4 linked regions of the Schizosaccharomyces pombe genome follow. Changing the gene in region 4 together with the main gene of any one other region gives a genetic interaction. Each region holds a gene or a part of one and is shown on either strand. Other genes may lie near its edges.

The links.
Region 1: mutations in cyb502 (region 4) and pof14 together harm fitness more than expected from each alone (negative genetic interaction), as found in Schizosaccharomyces pombe (one large-scale study listed by BioGRID).
Region 2: mutations in cyb502 (region 4) and cce1 together harm fitness more than expected from each alone (negative genetic interaction), as found in Schizosaccharomyces pombe (one large-scale study listed by BioGRID).
Region 3: mutations in cyb502 (region 4) and ppk11 together harm fitness more than expected from each alone (negative genetic interaction), as found in Schizosaccharomyces pombe (one large-scale study listed by BioGRID).

The regions. Positions count from the first base shown.
Region 1 is NC_003424.3:2,243,760-2,249,233, reverse strand, and holds pof14 (F-box protein Pof14), read right to left. Parts: upstream 3,500-5,474; 5' UTR 3,449-3,499; coding exon 2,153-3,448; 3' UTR 2,106-2,152; downstream 1-2,105. Other genes in the region: byr3 (translational activator, zf-CCHC type zinc finger protein), read left to right, coding at 752-1,291; microtubule plus-end binding protein, EB1 family Mal3, read right to left, coding at 4,612-5,474. UniProt on the Schizosaccharomyces pombe protein: Expression is induced during oxidative stress. Plays an essential, SCF-independent, role in the stress response to hydrogen peroxide for survival, by negatively regulating ergosterol synthesis via direct binding to the squalene synthase erg9.
Region 2 is NC_003424.3:4,295,938-4,300,756, reverse strand, and holds cce1 (cruciform cutting endonuclease Cce1), read left to right. Parts: upstream 1-2,851; coding exon 2,852-3,628; 3' UTR 3,629-3,821; downstream 3,822-4,819. Other genes in the region: DNA-binding transcription factor Zip1, read right to left, coding at 1-691; SPOM_SPAC25G10.01 (mRNA splicing or mRNA surveillance facor), read right to left, coding at 4,488-4,819. UniProt on the Schizosaccharomyces pombe protein: Capable of resolving Holliday junctions. Specific for 4-way junctions. Seems to be important for the maintenance of mitochondrial DNA. Cleaves fixed junctions at the point of strand exchange. Cleaves after 5'-CT-3' and 5'-TT-3' sequences.
Region 3 is NC_003424.3:4,281,991-4,288,071, forward strand, and holds ppk11 (PAK-like kinase Ppk11), read right to left. Parts: upstream 2,565-6,081; 5' UTR 2,464-2,564; coding exon 1,525-2,463; 3' UTR 501-1,524; downstream 1-500. Other genes in the region: vma16 (V-type ATPase V0 subunit c''), read left to right, coding at 1-102; UBX domain protein Ubx2, read right to left, coding at 2,928-4,211; rps801 (40S ribosomal protein eS8), read right to left, coding at 4,823-5,425.
Region 4 is NC_003423.3:2,574,031-2,578,620, forward strand, and holds cyb502 (cytochrome b5), read right to left. Parts: upstream 1,436-4,590; 5' UTR 1,399-1,435; coding exon 1,251-1,398; exon of another isoform or gene 1,067-1,250; coding exon 913-1,066; exon of another isoform or gene 865-912; coding exon 792-864; 3' UTR 633-791; downstream 1-632. Other genes in the region: Ragulator-Rag complex subunit Lam1, read left to right, coding at 1-63, 107-184, 247-457; SPOM_SPBC2G5.01 (Ca(2+) binding protein), read left to right, coding at 2,591-3,715; ckb2 (CK2 family regulatory subunit protein), read right to left, coding at 4,287-4,590.

The sequences.
Region 1 (5,474 bases), on a different chromosome or scaffold from region 4:
GTATAATGAATCGTTGCCATCGATTCGACCCGGGTTCGATTCCCGGCCAAAGCATTATTTTTTACCAAAACAATTTTTGGATTTATTTTGATTTGTTTGAATTCAAGCACGTGGTACTCTGGATACCTAAAATATGTACAACTATAGATTCCAGTAATATATATATTGCAAATGACTGAACTCAATTCTTCAGGCGCTATACTGTGAATGCAATGTTTCTACGATTTTTTGCCATGAAAAATAACGATGCTTATTTACCACGATTCAAAGTAACTAAGCGTTTGGTTATATTCGCTTGGAATACCAATCTACATTACAATGAGGAGGCAATAATTGCTATGATATAAAGCTATTGTCAGAACCAAAAAGTCCTGAGTTTATGGGAAAGAGTGAGCTTACTAGTTATGTAAGATATTACACTCTCTATCACAAAAAAAAGCAAGTATGCGGTAACAATTCTTCGATTCCATGACTCTTTTTAATTGGCAAGTTGTTGTGCTTCTTCCGTCGGTCTAAAACAACTAAATTCTTATTTATTGACATCTTTAAGACCAAAATAGTCGCTTGTCAAATTCGTTACTTCCAAGTGCCACCATGTGCTTGTTACTTAAGAAAAATTTAGACAGTCACACGCTCCTATTTATTAAGGAAGTGTAGTCAGGTTAGCGAGAAAAAGTACATTTTTTCTGTTTTTTTTTATTTTTCTTAATTTTCTTTAATAATTTTTTTTAATTGTAAAGGAGTTGTTAAGATGGAGTCTGAATCTGTTCCCACCGTTCCTCAAACCACTCGTCCCGGTCCTCGATGCTATAACTGTGGTGAAAACGGTCATCAAGCTCGTGAGTGCACCAAGGGTTCAATCTGCTACAATTGCAATCAGACCGGTCACAAGGCTAGCGAATGCACTGAGCCTCAACAGGAAAAAACTTGCTATGCTTGTGGTACCGCCGGACATCTCGTTCGTGATTGCCCCAGCAGCCCTAACCCCCGTCAAGGTGCGGAATGTTACAAGTGTGGTCGTGTTGGTCACATTGCTAGAGACTGTCGTACAAATGGTCAACAAAGTGGCGGACGATTTGGTGGTCATCGCTCCAACATGAATTGCTATGCTTGTGGCTCTTATGGCCATCAAGCCCGTGATTGCACTATGGGCGTGAAATGCTACTCTTGTGGTAAGATTGGACACCGCAGCTTTGAATGTCAACAAGCTTCAGATGGTCAACTTTGTTACAAGTGTAATCAACCAGGCCACATCGCCGTCAATTGCACCTCTCCTGTAATTGAGGCATAAGTGCTTGCTATTTATAACCCTTTGTCGTGGTATGAAGATATTTTTTCTTTTTCTTGTCCGATTTATTCAAATTTGGCAAGTGGTCATATTCTTACAAATCCCTTGAGCGATCTGCGCATTTAGTTATATAGAAAGCATAATTTTACATCCTTCTCTTCGTCCTTATTTTTTCGCACACTTCTGAATTCATTTTTGCTTCGGATCCTTAAGGATATTTGTACTGAAGCCTGAGATGCACCACCTCATTTCTCTCCTGTTTTCTCGTCACCGCTAAAAGATGGATGTTGATAGATTAAATCCTTTTTGTTTCAGTTTATTTTTACTGTTGTAGTGGCATTTTTTTCCTATTATTTTCAATTCACGAGCTTGAAATAAAAAAATTTGGAATATGGGAATTCTATAAATGATAGAAATTCCTTGGTCCATTTGGATGATTTGTTTTTTTTAGTGCCATTATTTAATGGAACTTTTGGTTTTATATGACAACTCACTATCAATTTCATTTACGAAATGGGTTTTGGCGTTTTCGTATTTTTTGAGTAACTTAATTTACCTTATGTGTTTGTACAGTAAATGTTAATGCTCTGACTTATTAACAACTTCTCTACTTCTTAATCTCTCATGGTATCTGTATAACAATATTTACAAAAGGGTTCTGGGTCATTTGCCTAATTAATATTATTTTTTCCTTGCATTGCTTACTCTGCTTTTCAAAAATGAACTGTAATTGAAAACGGGTGAACGATAAATGTAACAGTTGTCATAGACAAAAAAAAATTTATTAACTTCAATTTTACTTTCATACAAATTTGACATCGAATTTGTCTATTACATAAAATCGTAGTATATTAATCCAAAATTTTATTGTTCACATAACTCAGCCAACTGCGCTCGAAACAAACGAAATAAACTTCTTGCAAATTCACCTTGAGAATGGTAAATACTCTTGAACGCTTTCTCTTCATCCCTAGCCAATTGAACATGCTCCGATAACCAAGAGGGGAATTTTTGACCAGGCCTGCTTATATATCCCACCCCTAAACGATCTTTCATAACATCAAATTTGTATCTACTTACAGGTTCATAAAAGTCAATGATTGCTTCTAAGCATTGATCACATATATTGGTAGCAACAGAAGGCCGGTAAAATGAGGTAATGCAATCTTTAAACTTAGTTAACTTCGGTATTCTATTGCAAAGCACACAACGGCCTACAAGATTGCATGCTAGCTCTATATATGTAGACTCATCGCATGACTGTGTTCCATCTCCTGTTTGGATGATCGAGGAGGCTAACGAAGAAGTATCAGAATGAATTGTCTTTGCTGCATAACTTTGATAACTTGGATCAAGAAAAATTGGAATGATTGTAGGGATATCGGTAAATTTGGCCACAGCACTTGTGTTTATAGACTCAGAGCAAGTTACAGCCGAATTTGGATTTTTTTTATGCACCTTAAGTAATCGTTTCCAAAATGAAACATTTCGAGGGCTGAGAATCTTTTTAAAACGTAAACATGTATTGGGGAGGTCATGGATAAGGGTATGTCGTTGTTTTCTATATGAAAATGCAAAGGGTAACTTCTCTATGTATGAAGCATCATAGCAATATGAAAAAATCAGCTGTAAAATTTCATCCGGACAATCCAAAATTTTTGCATACTTAGGACTCTCAGATGAGTATCTATAATATAAATTTGACTTAGGTGAAGCAACAGTTAAATTTAATGAAGAGTCAAGATTATCGCTACTTGGTATTTTTCTGAAAGGCAGGACTTGGGTAGTATACTCGGCATAATCATTAATCAATTCTAGAAGATTTCTACTTAGTGAGCATTTATCAAGTAGACCTTCATAATCAATCATTGCTGAAGCATGCGAATCTCCATCAACAACCAACGTATTCCAGACACCATTCCAATTGTCTTCTTCATCAAAATTAGAACAGATCGAAACCAATCGCTTCATGGCTCTTACTCTTGCTAAACAATGCACAAATTCATCAAATGTTTGAGGCTTGAAATATGAGCTTCTTATTTTTTTGCGAGTATCGATTAGTATTCTTAAAAACGATTCATCTTGATCCAAGTGCTCATTCACGCTGGTATTCATATAGCATGTATGCGTTTTGCAATTTTGAAATGAAAATTGAAGCATTTAGTTTGATTAAGTAGTAGTACCCATATACAGTTCGTTGATGGTGATGTTGGCTGACTGCAAGCTCAATTTGCCGGTTATCAACATTGCATAATTATACATCACATGGTTACTTACTCATACCGGCCTGAGAATTAGGTGAATAAAAACCTATATAGAAAACAGAAGTTTTATAATAAAAACTAGTGGTATACTTCGCATATTATACTAATGTGGATCGAATTTAATTCTTTGTGTGAAAGACGTAACATTGGTGTTATCAGATCAGATAAGACAAATTGATCAAACCCCCCGGCGGGGGGGGGGAAACTTGGTGCTTTGAATTTCATTATTGAGATTTTTGCTTTGCAAATTTAAAGAATTGTGAATGAAAGAGTTTTATTTATTATTAACGACGTGTAGCTGAATTGCATAACTTTAAGCTTGATTTAAAAATTTGCTATTTAAAGTTGATATAGTTCGAGTAAAAAAAATAAACTAACAAAGGTACCTCAAAATTTTACATACTTTACTATTGCTAGTAAAAATGACAAGCATAAACACCTACGGTTTATAAAGTCAACAATATATATATATAAGATAAGGATAAGTAATTAAACTTCTACATCGCTGAGACGTACGCAGTTGAAACGTTTTAACATAATCAGATCATTGAAAGTAAATATTTTACTCTTTATTTTGCTCATATATGAAAAAGGCGATTTTAAAATCGGATGCAAATTTTTTTTAAATCGAGTAGATATTTCAGCATCATTGAATAAAATTCTGAAACATCCATTCATACTTTTCAACATTTAATTATAAAAAAGTTTGGTTCGTAATCACTGAAACGTAGAAGCAGGATAAATTTAAATTATCCTTGAAGCTTTTTTAAAGAAATAAGAAAAATATCCTATTTGGGATAATTAGACGGCTCAAACACTAAGGATTAAAGTTTATTACAATTAGCATTTGTAGTATACAGAATGCTATATGTTAAGGAAAAAGAACGAAATTAAATGAATTTGGAGGTCATGAGGCACGCAACATTCGATCAGGTTAAATAAACAATAAGGAATAAGAAGAACTCCCTATAAAAATAAATATTTCGGTTTCCTTTATTTACGTTGTTACAGTGAAAAATGAAGAATTTGCAACAAAAAAAAACTTTAACTTAGTACTTTTTAAAACGTGATATTCTCATCGTCATCAACCTCTAAACTTTGTAGCCTAGCATGTACGAAATCTGGTGCAGAGGGAACGCGTTGAGTTTCTGAGTCTTTTAGGTCAGTCATTTGAGCCTCTTCAGCGACGTTGTTAGTATCATGGTCCGTAAGGGCGGTAGTTAAATCTGCGGGTTGATCAGGTGGTAACTCAAAACCATCCTCAGTAGAATAAAGTATTGCTTGAATACGCTCCAACATATTTTCCATTGACATAGGAGAAGTGGTCAAATGAGTTTGTACAAGTATTTCAATTTCTCGAAGCTTGTTAAAATAGAAATCACGTTCTCTCTCCAAACCAAACATCGTCTCATTAACTTCGTACAACTGTGTTTCAAGACTAGTGATTTGTTGTTGTGCTTGCTTTGCCCTTAACACTGCCGCAGTATTTGCAGTCGAAGACACGTTATTGTTGTTTGCTGATGACTTAGTCATTGAAGGTGTAGAACTACCAGAAGAAACCTGACGGCGACGAGAAGGGCCAGTTGCTCCTGCAGAGGAATTCATAACACGAGTGTTAGCAGGTCCTCTATTCCCCCGGCGTGCCAGCGCATCATAATCGCCCCCAGGATAATATTGATCCCAAAAACGTTTGGCCCATTGAACGAACTCCAGATTATCTTGCATTTTACAACGCGATAGTCTCTCAGGGTCTACAACTTTATCGATACCCTTCTTCAAGAATACCTGTTGAAGAACTTTCCAATTGTTTATATATTGATACTCATTATTGCATTCAAAATTCACCTTTTTTAGTGGTATGTCTTGATATATGGAGTCAAAAATCTGTATCATAGCGTAACCTTTTCCACAATCCTCAATCC
Region 2 (4,819 bases), on a different chromosome or scaffold from region 4:
CAGGACTGGCAAAAGTGGAAAGGGGATTGGTAAATGCGTTTTGATCAGCAAATGAAGAAACGGGAGCTTGTAAAGGGGTATTGTTAATAGAGCTGCTAGCTTCAGAAGTCGGGATAGCAGTCTGTCCAACCAAAACTTGATGTTGTCTTGCAGATTGATCAGGTAGTAACTTGGAGGAAGCTGAACCTTGGAGAATTGAGGAAGAAGAAACATTATCCTTGGAGGCTGAAGCAACAGAAGACTTTTGCTCAAAGAGCTCTCGTTGAGACGAAGTTTTTTCTTGAGTTTCCTTTGAATGATCAGGTAGGGTTAGGAGTTTCTGCAAGTCGAGATAAGCAAGATCAATTGAAGCAGGATTAGCAGAAGAAAAATTTCCAGTTGCATTCAAAGGGGCAGAAAAGGTATTGCTAACTTCTTCCTCTTTAACTTGCTGCAAAGTCGAAATTTTTTCGGGATTCTGTTGCTGCACGTTCTTTTCCTGCTTATTGGAATTGGAAGAACCTGAAGGTTGAGAAACAAATCCATAATAGCCTTCTGAAAGCATACTAGAAGGCTCTAAATCTAAAAAGTATGGATTTGTGAATACATTTAATTGCTCTGCGAGATCATCCTTTGAAAAATCGTCAGAGACAGGAACATCATCGAACTTAAGATTCAAGTGATTGATAGCGCTATTAGGAGTAAAATCCATTTGTCAAAAGCTTTATCTTGAGACTCTTGGTCTCTTAAAATTAACTGAAAATCAATTGTTAGCATGGAATTTCGCTAAAAAACTGAACTCTCCAACAATAAGCTTACCTAAGACTTAACGGCAAAATTATCGTTACTAATCAAATTATATCTCACAAAGGTAAAAAAAACACACTCAACCGTTCGCAATAAACGAGCTAAACCACCAAATTTAGTGACTCGATGAATGGCGACGCTACGTTGGTAATCGTAGAAAATTTGATGACTGAGCCAGCACGTCTGCGATCGGGATCATGCAGCGTTGAGATAATAATGAGATTACAATCTCCGCGTTAAAAATCTGATGTAGTGTAGCTGTACGTAGATCCTCATAAAACTATCCTATATTAAGATAGTGCACCGTTAATTATTATAGAAGTTGTTACCGTAGTAGTTTAAACCTGCTAGAAAAACGTTATTATATAAGTCACTAACAAATTGCTATTTAGGAAAAAAATCCTAAAGAAATCAGTCGTATGCTATTAATGAGAGTTAAAAAGCAGTCTTAAGTTCTTGCTTTTTGTGTAAATGATCGGAAGTTTTATCTTATATTGAAAATTCTAAAGCCATTAGAATATTCGCTCATTTTATATATCAATGGCCCAGTTGTAATAGTCAGTCGAATAGTTAATTGAATAAACTACTTTAGATCTACATGCGCAATAAGTTTTAAGTTTGGGGTTTTTACTGAACATTTTTCATCCCCAACAACGGTTCATATATTGAAACAATAGTGCGTCAGACAATTCGCAATTTTTTTTTTCTAAAAACAGTATATTCTCTACTTTTCAGTCAGTTAATATATTCCGGAACAAAGTCATATTCTTCTTAAAACTTATTCATACTAGTGCTGCTTGTGTAAAAAAAGAATCAAATACAAAACATGTTACTTGACAGATCCTCTATAATAGAATATGGAAACGAAATAGAAATGAGAATGATTGAAGTTCAAGCTTAAAGTCAGTAATAGATTTGCTTTTTGCATAAGAAAAAAATCAGTGGAAAACGCTTTGAAATCCTTAAAGCATTTTTTGTATTTGCGTAAGACATTGTCTGCTATATGCTTTCAGAGGAGTTTTAGAAATCCAATAGCAGAAATTCATCATTAATGTTAAAGGTAGCTGAATACAAATTAAACAGCGTTAAAATCAAAATCCGATAAACCTTCACGTTCATTCCGTGGTTACATTTGTAGTTCATTTTTGTCAACCATCGCCGTTCTATATACTTGCTAACTATAGTACAATGTGTGCCATCAAAACTTTGAAAATTTAATCCTAATAGTTTAAAACAAATGTTACAGTTTAAGTATTTCAATGTCCAAGACTTCAAATATGGAGTTTTACCTAACTTGCATAGAAACTCGGTATTATAATAAAAGACAATGACGGATTCGGGGTATTAAATGAAGACTTCAGCTGTATAAAAGCTTTTCTGTTATATATCTTAAATTTTGTGGATTCCAAATTAGCTTTCAAATACAAACTGTGCCATTTTACACAACCTCGATCATTCATAAAACAATAATAAACTTGCTCACTTACAAACAAGTCTTAAGAATTGATTTAAGTCAATGTCTGATTGCAAACATATTAACAATCTGTGATAAATTTCTTTTGCCATGTATTTCTAACTTTAGGTTGATGAGTTCAAACCTCCTATGAATCGACGTATATCGTTGTTGATATTTCACATAAACTTGGACTCGCCAATCTTTGTTCATATTTTAATGCTTATTTATTCAGATAATTCCCAGGTGACTAGCAGTTTGAACTAAGCAAGACGTTGTCAACGACTTCAAACATCGCAAGCTTATGGAATAAAAGAAAAAAAATTACATGTTTCTACTCGTAAGTGAAATAAAAATTCCCGGACTCCCATTTACCAATCCTTCGTTTTTTGTATTACCATATACTATCTTTCACGTTTGCATCTAGCATCTAAAACTGTTCACTTCTAAAAACAATTCATTTTAAGAGAAATAATCATTTTTTCTTATTTGAATAAACTCAATTCTTACTGCCTCGTTTCCTTGTTTTTGCAAAAAAAAAAAACATAATCATTGCTATAGGTTTACAACTTCATATCCGTTTCTTTATGTCAATTTATTCTTTTTTACAGAATGGCTACTGTGAAACTTAGTTTTTTACAGCACATCTGTAAGTTAACTGGATTGTCAAGAAGTGGAAGAAAGGATGAGTTGCTTCGAAGAATTGTTGACTCTCCTATTTATCCCACCTCTCGGGTACTTGGTATTGACTTGGGAATCAAAAATTTCTCTTACTGCTTTGCAAGTCAAAATGAAGATTCTAAAGTTATTATCCACAATTGGTCTGTTGAAAATCTAACTGAAAAAAATGGGCTTGATATACAATGGACCGAAGACTTCCAGCCTAGCTCCATGGCTGATCTTTCAATACAACTGTTTAATACATTACACGAAAAATTCAATCCGCATGTCATTCTTATGGAACGCCAGCGTTATCGTTCCGGTATTGCTACGATTCCAGAGTGGACGCTACGAGTAAATATGCTTGAAAGCATGCTGTATGCGTTACACTACGCAGAAAAAAGAAATTCAATCGAACAGAAAATACAATATCCTTTCCTTCTTTCTCTGTCCCCAAAATCTACATACTCGTATTGGGCATCAGTTTTGAATACGAAAGCATCTTTTTCAAAGAAGAAGAGTAGAGTACAAATGGTCAAGGAATTAATAGATGGTCAAAAAATCCTATTTGAAAATGAAGAAGCTCTGTATAAATGGAACAACGGTTCTAGGGTTGAATTTAAAAAGGACGATATGGCAGATTCTGCTTTGATTGCAAGCGGTTGGATGAGATGGCAAGCCCAACTGAAGCATTATAGAAACTTTTGCAAACAGTTTCTGAAACAATAGAAATGAACGATTGCCGTACGAATGTTTAGCCAATTTGTATATTGTAGTTTTATTCAAAGAAAAACTATCGTATATTGCATTTCATGATCCTATAAAAAAGGAAGAAATTAAACTAAATTCATAAAATTAATAATGATAACAAAAGGAATGCAGGCACATGTATCAAAGATCTTCTTTGAGCATTATTCTAAACTTCAACGATGAAAAATAACAAAACATAAAGAACATGAAATGAATTTTTTAAAAAAAATAAGAATGATGACAAACAAAAAAAGGTAATAAGGCCTTAAAAATAGCAACCCGACCTTGCTCATTTCAAAAACCCAAGTTTATATCCTCTATATTTCATGCATACAAAAGCACCAATAACAGCACCGAAAAATGAAATTTTTTATAATAAATTTGTATGAAACGGCTTTGAAGACGTAAAGAAAAAAGTAGAACTTGCAGTGAAGCCACAAAAGTCATAAGAGGACCATGATAGCGTCTGAGATCCTTTAAAAAAAACATAAAAAAACGCAACTCGTGATTGTTTAGTTCCCCAACAGAGTAAACCCTGGATAACACGCATTTACACAAGATTTAATCCCTAAAGTAAAGAAAGACGAGAAAAAATTAGTAGTATAAACACGTGGAAAACACACACACCTTTTGGAAATTGGTACATGATAGCTTTCAGGGAAAATTTAATATAATAAGCAATAGACCGTTTATACAAGGAAGAAAAGTAAACGAACCTAAGGTATAACGAATCATAAACTGTTAACTATAAAAGGTTTTCATTAAATGAAAGTAAGCAAAGGAAACTCAAAAAGAGTAGCGATATATGATAAAAAGGTTATATTAAGCAAATTGTTAATTATTGATCTTCGTTTGGAGGCACCGAAGAGTGTGAAGGTAAGGCTTCATTACCTGGGGTATCATTGCGCATGTTAGGAACAGAATGATGCTCTGCATGAGCAAAGGACCTTCCATGGAAATGTCGCTCTCTTCTCGGTCTTGAATCAACGTTGTATCTTTCTTTGCGGTAATTTCCGGGAGAATGTTCTCGTTGAGGCCTAGATGGACGATAAGAGTTTCGATATCTATTAGAATCGCGGTCACGATAATTATTTCTACGATATCCCCCATCTTTATTGTTGCTTGGAAAATCCCTGGAATTTCTTCTTCTATCATAGCCCATATATTTTC
Region 3 (6,081 bases), on a different chromosome or scaffold from region 4:
TTCGTAAAAGTTCTTGTTGTCGAAATTTTCGGAAGTGTCTTGGGATTATTTGGATTGATCGTTGGATTGTTAATTGGTGGAAAAGCTAGTGATTTTTCTTAATTATAAACAATTCTTTTTGTTTTTCATACAACTGTAAATGCATAAATTTACAAGTTTTTTTCCGTTCAGCCGTTCCTTATTTACCTTTAATATTTCCATGTACTTTTCTAAGCGCTTGCACAGCTTATTTGGTATTTTTATAAATAACGATAATTATTACAAGTTTTTCTTGCGAATGCTTCATTTTTTGAGATGAAATAAATTATAGAAATTGTGCTGTTATTGAATAATCAGTTTCGATTGATTGACCAACTGGCTTCCTGATCCAGTGCAGAATTTCAGACTTGGATAAGTTCATTACTTATTTTTTCTCTATTATACTGCTAAAGAAACCAAAAACTCAGCTATTATATAACTACATGCTTTTTCAACCTATATGCATGTTATTATCTCAAATTGCGGACAAATTCATTCAGTCTTATGGGAATTAGTTACTGTGATTTAATTCAATATGCTTCTAATCAATTTATAAATTTTGCAATCTCTTTGCATTTGATCAACTAGAATCCAAATCTATTTATCCTATTCTCTATATGATCAAAGAACACCAGCTCATTTCCACACAGCAAAGTTTACAGTAAATAAACAATATACCTTGTATAACTTGCACATGTTCTTTCGTAACTGGAAATTAGGGTTACAGATTTAGTATTCTTGATTATTGGGTTGACAAAAAGCTATCAATCATGACAAAACGGTATTTTTTTAAATCTGATTTTGCATACTATATTTTCAAAGGTTTCAATTCCTACCTGATTCGGGCTATCCAGATATAGAAATGGTTGATATAATGGAATTGTAAAGTAAAAACAGCTACAACTTATGGCAGTAACTCATAAAGTTGTACAGTCGATTTGGAGACACTCAGGTAAACATCAGCGGTATCATGACAGGATGAAGGAATTACGGGAGATTGCATAAATATATGTTTTCCAATACTGTTAACCTCTGTAACTCCATCACTTAGTAAAAGCTCATAGCAGGTGTTGTATTGTCCTAATATTGAGACTAGTCGGAACGAAGATATAAAAGAAATCAGGATATCAAATATAAAACGATTGCTTAAAGTCCCAAACCATATCAAGTACAGAAGGGATAAAAAGATGTGCGTCTTCTATATCTTGGTACTCGTCGCAATCAAACGAATATTAGGTTAATCTGTCATATATAGGGCTGCGATGCTATCACAAATCGATATTGAATGTATTAAATCAAGGTCTAAGAGAAGAAAAAACATATGAACAGTAGTTGTTAAACTCGGAAAAAAAAGCCAGTCGGCTCAATGGGTAAGAAGCCTTAACATGAGAATTTTTGTTAATAAAAACTTGTATAAATACATTGCTTCCAAACCGTATTTTTTAACTGATGTAAGATAGCAATACAAGGCGATCAAAAAAGACAAGAAAAAAAGTGAACGTTTGCTTATCGCCGAACTGTTCCAAAATCCCAAACAACTTCATCAATGGTGTTTGCAGAATTACCCATGGTACTATTATAGGGGGTAGCTTCCGGTAATAGCTCGGATTCTTTCCATTTCGCATAAGAAGCTACAACTTCCTTCACAGATGTGTTGGGACAATACTTTTTGATGAACTTGTGTTTCGACAAATATTCAGCGGTAGCTCTATCCTTTGGGTTCTTTTTCAAACAGTTGCTAACAAAATCGCAGAATGCACGTGAAAACTTACTTCTTTCTAATGACGGAGGGGAATGCTTTGGTATTAGTAAAAGAACTTTCATCGGATGTATGCCAGAATATGGAGGCTCCCCAGTAGCCAATTCGTAAGCCGTAATTCCCAATGACCAAATATCCGCTTTGTAATTGTATCCTGTCTGCTTTACAACTTCAGGAGCCATCCAAAAAGGCGTACCAACGAAGTCATCATTTTTGTCACGCAAGCTCTCCAACTGACCTGATACGCCAAAGTCAGCAAGCTTAACTAGTCCATCTTTCATAGTTAAAATGTTGGCAGCTTTAATATCACGATGCATTTTACCTTGACCATGTAGATAAACAAGGGCCTCTAATACCTGCCTCATAACTTCGGCGATAACACGTTCACTGAACGTTCCTGAAAGCTTCAAAAGGTCTAAACAACTTCCTCCATCGCAATATTCCATAGTTATCCACAATCGAAATCCATCAACGAATGATGCATAATATTTCGTAATGTGAACCGAATTCAGATCGATCAGAAAGTTAATTTCTTGGGTCAAAGTCTCAATCTGGTCCTTTGTAGCATCTAAATCTACAACTTTAAGTGCTACAATCTTGGATGATTCAACATCTTGAGCTCGAAAGACTGATCCAAAACTTCCTTGTCCAATAAGTTGTAAATCCCGGTATTGATGTTTTTCCATATTATATATTAATAAATACAATTGAATTCTACAAAGAAAAAGGATTGATAGTGTTAGTTTACCTGGAACTTCGTATATGGAACAGCCATATGGCTCCGTGTAAAGTCGGTATCCGCGAAGGCTGATATGTTTACAGGGATATTTGAGTCTGTATCTTGAGTATGAGATCTTTCTACAGAAAAAGTGCACTTAAATATTAAACAATTAATATTTATCTGGATATTTTAAAGGACTTATCACTTCGTGCACTAGTAGTATTCGTAGATGCGTAATATAAATATACGTTTAGTCAATTCTACAGCTAATATATGGTTTATTACTTAACTGGCATGCCAAAGCATTTTTTATGTAATGAATAAATAAACGGTGGAATTTCATTAGGATGTATCTCATTATACTTAACCACAAGGAAAATATCTATTTTTGGGATAGAAAAGCAAGCAAAACACTCATCAAACTTTTTATCATTGGAATTCAAATTGCAAAGCTGTGTTTTGGATCCCTGCTTCCTTGATAGTAGAATCCAAAGACGTCCAAAGACTTTTTCTCTGAAATGTAAGAGAAAACGGTTGCTTATCTGCACCTTCGGCAACTCCTTTCACATACGCATACACTTTACTTACTGGGTCGGTCAAAGAAAACCTACGAATGAAACGTGCTCCATTGGGCATACGAATTTGGATTCTTGTGACATTGGGTCCTGGAGATGGTTCTTCGGCATCACATTCAGCTGAATCGATTTTATGAACAGTATCATCGGCCACCCCATGACTTTCTGCTTGCTGTGAAGAGCTTTCGCCTTGAGATTCAGTTGTCGAGTTTCCATTTCCTAGGGAAGCTGCAATTGCTTTGTGCATTTGCTCATCTTCAGACATCGCTTCGACTGGCTTTTGTGATTTTGCTCCCAAAGGGTTTTTACGACCACTGGTTTCATCCAAGGTACACCCTTCTAGAAAATCGTTCAGAGCAATGACAAAATCAGCTGGCGTAAACGACTTGCTCCATTCCTTAACGCGCTCTCCGGTCCTTGGATCAAGGATAGCAATGTGAGGCGTAGAACGAACGGGGTAAAACCTTTTAAACTCCATGCCAGGCTCTTCGTCATCCAAAAGCTGAAGAAATAAAAAGTGTGCACGAATCACCTCTTTTACTGACTCGTCTTTCCATAAATCACGGTTAAGTACCTGACATTCAAACGACGTTGATGTCTGTAAATTGACAAGGATCCACCGCTTCTGAGAAGATGCTTCTATTCGAGCTTCATCAAGGCTGAGATTGGAAATTATATCATACGGCGGTCGAAACAATTTTGCAAGGCGTGACGCTCTACTTGAACTGTCAGACTCTTCTGACGAGTCTTCTGTATTACTTGATGGAAAAGGGATTTGAGAGGGAGATTGATCAAAAATACCCATACGCCTTCTTTGTCTTCGATTCATTCTTGGAAATCCCCCGAATCCAAAGTTGTTGCCCATAATAGAAGTTCCTGCTGACATATCAGCTAACGGGTCTACCAAAACCTCTCTGGTAGGTGCAATAGGCGCACGAATTTCTTCTACAGGCTCAGTCTGACTCGGTGCTTCTATATAGCTCGATTGCACATCGGTAACGCCTCCACTTTCAAAGAACAATGTGATTGCAGTCGATAAATCGCCATCTGCAACGCTCAAGTACTCTTGAGCTTTTTCAGGTGTTGAATTAGTTATTGCGCAGAAGTTGGCTACTAAACTAGCTTCGTCTCCATCCATTTTTTTTACCTTCGTTTATACCTGTACTTGGTAAATGGCAAGTAGAGCAGGTTTAGTCAGAGAGGTATACGCATACCCCATACGTAAACAAATTTAAAGTAAATTTTTTATTAGTTGTCCAATTTAAGTTTTATAATTTTAAGAGAAAATGACTTATAATTTTTGATATTCTTTGCCAGGTTTTAAAATTTACGAAAACGCGATAAGGACATTAACAAAACAACTTGCTGAAATCATAGAAATAATGACTTTAGAAAAGAGGGTCTCAGTCATAAAAGTCTCTATTAATTAAATCAGTAAGGACTTGAAAAGCTCGTACTTTTTTCTGATACTTTATACTGAAATCTTGGAAAATCTTTTAGTAATTTGCATATAATTTTTCAAACCCAGTAATACTCATACAACTTTGCTAGTCTATATGAGCAATGAAATGGCTTTTTGACGATGACTACTAAAAAAGTTTTACAGTTCATGCTGTTTTAATTATAAATTACATAGGAATCACAAGTATTACTAGCCATGCATATACAATTGTACTATAAATAATCACAAAAAGTTAAAAAGTTTGTATATAGGCACATTTTTGCATTAAGAAGACTAAAACAACTTTTTTACTTCTTGGGGGCCATACGACGAAGGTAGAAATGTAACTCCTCTCCCTCAAGAATGTAACCATCACAACGTCCAGATTGACCAGGACGAGAGGATACAACAGCATACAAACGGCCAGCAGCAAACTGAGTTTCCAAAGCGGAGTCAACCTTAGAATCGCCAAGACGAGCGCTATGCTTACGTTGAACATGCTTGGATTTGGGATTAGGGGTTGAAGTGGCCTTCTTTCCCTTGCTTCCCATCAAGATACCGTAATGGGTTTCATACCAGACACGGAAAGGAGCAGCATCAATTTGGACAATAGCTGACTTGGTTAAAGTGTTGGTACGAACCAACTCGTTGTTAGAAGGGTGATAGGCAACTTGAATAATACGAGTCTTCTTGGAAACACCCTCAGAGCCCCAAGAGAAGTTACCAGAGTCAAGACGAAGGGCACGGAACTTCTTATTTCCACCACGAACACGGACCTCGTGAATACGCTTAGGTCCAATACGAGTGTTGGAAGGTTGACGACCCAACTCGAATTTTCTCTTCTTGCGGTACTGAGCACGCTTAGCACCGGTAGCAGAGCGCTTGTGTCGTGAGTCTCTGGTAATTCCCATGTTGGTGATTTGGAGATGGCTAGAAATCGCCGACAAAAAGTTTAGCCTGGCTTTCGATTGTGACTGTCTTTTTGAATAATTTAAGGAACTCCGCTTATGGTACACTATGTACAACTGCGCAAAGTTGCTTATTGAATACTGTCAGTTATACTAAACTACGCTATAATGTACTACGTTATGAATCACTATATGCCACATGTTCATAATGTTCTATTTGCTCTATCAGCTTTACATGATAAGTTATCAAGACATATATAATATTAGTTGTAATAAGGTGAATAACTGTCAGTTATGATTCTTGCTGTTTCAAATGGTTATAAATTGAGAACAACTGAACCTCATTCCTGAGTTCAGTTATAAGCCATATCAGTGATAGGTAACATTATAACCTAGTTAATACGATACCTATACTCAGTTGCTACTTATATTACTTGCGTATTGCAATATAATAGATCACAAGGAAAACTCACCGCAGCTTTACGTACCCTTAAAACAGATACTAAACTGCGTAGCTGACAAATACGGAGTCAAAGATTAGGAGTAAGGTGAAAGATATACGCTAATGTAGTACAACGTAATGTGCCACAGTAAAGTATTTCTTCACGGATATCAGTTGGATGAATATTAATTCGAATACCTTGTTTTAGTTATACAAA
Region 4 (4,590 bases):
CATGAGTTTACGAAAACGTGAAGAAGAGGAAGAATGGGAGTCTAAGGTTTACGATGTCGCAAAGTATGAAGCCTTTGGTATCTGTTTCTTTGTTAACTGAAAATAGAAATAAATTCATTGACGTCTTTTCTTTACGATTGAGAACCGAAGCACCTCAGCGAGACCCTCGGGACAACATTTATGAGTAAGCTTTTGATAAATTCTTTTTATACAGTAGAAACTATATTAACATAATGATTGCGATAGGGAGGTATTAGATCAAATCGACTCATTGAATTTAGATCCAAAATACGATGTTGCTAAACCTACCGAGCAGGAAACCGAGTTTATAATAAGGAAACTAGGTGTTTTGATTGATGATATTAACAACATTAAGCTGAGTGATAAAGAAATCAAAGGAAAGATGGTAATCAATTTATCTAAAGTCCAACCGAATATTACTGGAAGTCCTTCATAAGCCCAATAGAACTAATTTTTCCATTAGTTATATTCCACTTCTGATTACATACTTCCCTCTTTACTATTAGCTAAATCTTTTTGTTATACTTTTTTGGTTTGTTTAATATCTCCATGAGTTAATTACATGTTACGAGCTGAACTCATTGTTTTTAAGAGCTCTCTTACTGAAGGAAGACATTTAAGAAATATATTTTTCTAAGTTAACGTTTATTTTGTTTCTTTAGAAGCCTTGAAAACAATTGCTATCCATAATAATATTGAGTGATACTAACATCGCGAAAAACAAAAGAAGGTATAAAGATTAGGAAAATAAATAGGCAAGCCTTCGAAGTTTATTTGTTAAGCTTAACAAACACAATTACTGCTATGGCTGGCAGGACAATTAATGCGATTAATAGAGGCAATCTGTTCTGTTAGCATGAAACAACCATCGTACACAAATCATTTTCTTACGGAGGCGTATCATTATCAAATGAACGAGGTTTCTTTAATTCTTTGAGTCTCTCCTCAGTTCCGGGTTTTAAATCACCAATATACATCTCTTCTAGTAACTCATCTGCAGCAATAGAGTGTCCAATGTCCTGATAGGCCTTAGTGGCGTCCTGGCCTAAAACAAATAGTTAGTGGACATGTTTAAAAAGCCGTATACAATGTTTTAATCAAGAAGGCACACAAGTGAAGAACTGATGAATGAAACGATAGCGATTAAAAGTATACTATCGCTTTTGAGCATAGCAGTCTCCAACATAATATGGTGTTTACTTCTACAAAAGTTTTGTCGAATTATTTACCTGCATAGTCCAACATTATATCTAAGCCTCCAGGATGATCATCAGCAAAGTTACTAACGTCGTAAACTTTTCCATTAATGACCATGTACATGTCTTTGGAATTATTGTGCTCCACAATCTCCTCAGGTTCAAAGTATTTCACCGACATCTTGATAAATAAATCTATATAATAAAAATCGTGTGTTGAGGGGAGTTGGAAAAAGTTTGCGAAAGTTTTGATATCGCTAGTAGAGAAAATCTCACGTTAGGGTATCGTGTGGTAGTAGTAAATAATCGAACAAACGAGCTCAAGGAATTTATTTAGCAGCCAATGATAGGCAAAGCGGCATGTACAAAATTCTGCCAGATTTTCTGCTTAACCAAAAAGTGGATAGGAATAATATTTTTTTACCAATAAACAATTATTGTTGAGGTATGGAGGATTTCTCATTTATATCTTTTTATCTATAATGATCTAATAACGATAGATCTCAATATCCCTCGCAACTTTGATACAAGCTTAATTTAGCTAGCGTTAAGCTTATGACATTCTTCAGTAACGGTATGTTACATGTTTGAAAAAAAAAATATGTCCTAGGTATAAAGTACAACAGGGTGACTAGCTTCCTTTTATTTGCTTTGTTGAGATTAACCGATCGTATACGTAAACAAGCAAGTACAAAATGACTTTCTTTTATATAGAACGCATGAATGTAACTAAGATTTTGAGTAAATGCGTAGCAGTTCGTACAACTATCATTTACCAAATAGATAAACTACTACCTTTGAAAATTGTAACGCCATATAGTTTCTCTGTCGGATATATTCAGTTGAAAGCACCATTCATTGCTAATAAAACACCAATAATTACAGAACCGATCTAGTAATATACATTTAGACCAACTGAGCTTCTATGCTTGTTTGTCTTTGCAGACTGTTTTTGTAACTTTTGCAATAACAAGCTGAAGTGCCAGTACAATATTCTTGAGCATCCGTTAGCTATCTAATTTTGCTTCACATATAGCAACTAGAAAAATAAAAATAAGTAAAAAGAAAAAACCTCAAAATTATGTTGGATATAACTAGTACAAAGTGTTTTCTCCACGTCAAAAAAAGTGTCACGAACCGGGATCGAACCGATGACCAACAGATCTTCAGTCTGTCATGCTCCCAACTACACCATCGCGACATGTTCTGGTTACCGACTTATTTTAAACTATCTATATACACTAGTTAATCTTCCCACTCTAGGAACCGGCTTGTCTCGTTCGTTACTTATTTCACCACGTTCAATCTCACTTCGTACAACCAGTGCCCTTTTTTCTTTCACGAAAGTCAGTAAATTTACAAGCGGAGGAACCATGATTAATAAAAAGCTTTTGTTTCTAGTTTTTGCACTAGCTAAAGGAGTACTGGCTGATGAGGAAGATGAATACGAAGAGGATTACAATATGAATCCCGAGTTGGAGAATCCAGGAATGTTCAAGCATGTCGATTGGAGAGATTTCCGTCTTGAATTTGTTATTCTTGCTTGTTTTTTCCTTTATGTTTTTTCTTTTATCACGCAAAAGAAGAAAAACCAAAAAATCGCTTCTCGCTGGTATGGTTCCTTACAGTCTAGCTTTCGCCAACAGTTTGCACAATATGGACCAGGTCCTAACAGTTCTCCAATCATTTATGACTCTCCTACCGAGTTTAGCTCCTATCTTACTGGACGTCTCAACGTGAAGAATGTGTATACAACACTTCAGCTTTTTCCTCGTCAAGATTTGTTAGCCTACTCTCTTAATCAAATCGTTGAAATCCTCCTGGGAAACGTTATGTCTTCTGTTTTACCTGTTGCTGACCGTTTTCAATTCGATTTAACTCTTGCAGACCAGAACTTGAAGGCTGAGCGTTTTGTTTTCGCCATTGTTCATAAAGACTGTATGCGCATTCTTCGTGAAATACGTTACGACTTAAGCTTTACCCGCATTTCTTCCTCTCCTTACTTACCGGAAACTCATGTTTTAATGTCTGAGAACAATGAGTGTAGTCAAGCTATTTTCGAAATTCCCGAGTTTATGTCTTCAATTAACGAGTGTATTGAAAACCTTGAGTATTTCATCGTTACTGATCAACCTTCAGTCCCTCCTGCTACCGAAAAGGATTATGTTACGAAGCCTCGTATCGAAGCTTCAATCAGAATTAAAAAAATCACATCCCTTTCTGGTTTGAGCAATGCTACGGGAAGTGCATTGTTTAATTCCTTGTTGCTGGTAGCTGATAGTTGTCCAAAATTCCAATGGCGACCAGAAGTTTCGAAGAAACTTACCTCTGCCCGTAAACTCGCCTTTGAGCAAGTTGTTCATGCTTCAGCCGCTAAGGCCGCCAAGAAAAAAGTTAAATCCTCTGGCGATATTTCTAAGCTTTCTGAGTCTGATCAAAAAAAGCGCATGGAGAGGGAACGTCAACGCAAAATGAGAAGACGCGCAAAGAAGATGTAAAATGTATTTAGCTAAACTTCGATTTCTCTTAACATCTATTTTTCTCTCTAATACAAAAGCAGTTTTGTTTGTTTGTTTTTTTATTTAATTTTTTTCATTATTGTCAATTAAATGTATTTAAGTTGTAAGGTATGTATGCAATGGTTAAGAATTATCGGATTCATTGAGGAAGCACACCTTTGGTTACACTTGCGCACCCTTATTTTTTGGTCTTGTATTAATTTACATGTATGATTAGTCTGCTACTTCAATTGATGAACAAAGTATATTATCAATCAACAAGAAATAAGGAACTTTTTTTTACCCAACTTTTAAAGGTAACCAATATTAAATCCTTTGGAAGTTCATCAAGCTCTTTAGTGTGAATTTACTAATTCAAATGCCTCGCGGACATTATATTAAAAAATACCAAATTCTGTTTTTTCTTATATGCAAAGCAATGAGACATCAACTAGATAATTGAATTTGACGGAAAAGAAACTTCAAGGATATTTTATAGGAATAAAAGTATTATTAAGGCTTAGAGGAACGAACCATTAGGTTATGGCATAAATAAGATGAAGCATCGTTTTTAATCACTTTCAGACTCCGAATCGCTACCACTATCTTCCAAGTACATACGAAGCCATTGCATTCGAGGTCCTGTTTTACTTAATTCGCTGACTTTAAAGCCATAAATTCTAGGCTGATAAATTTTACCACAAGGGATTGAGCGCTTAGGATTCAGTTCAGGATAGCTTTCAAAAAACAGATGAGGAAAAGTAGCACCAAAAAAAGAGCCATCTATGTTTTTGTATCGAGAACTAGAAGGAGCGTACAAATCAAGACAATTAGGGCAAAATAACATTACAGGCATTTTTCCAACTATATCAGAA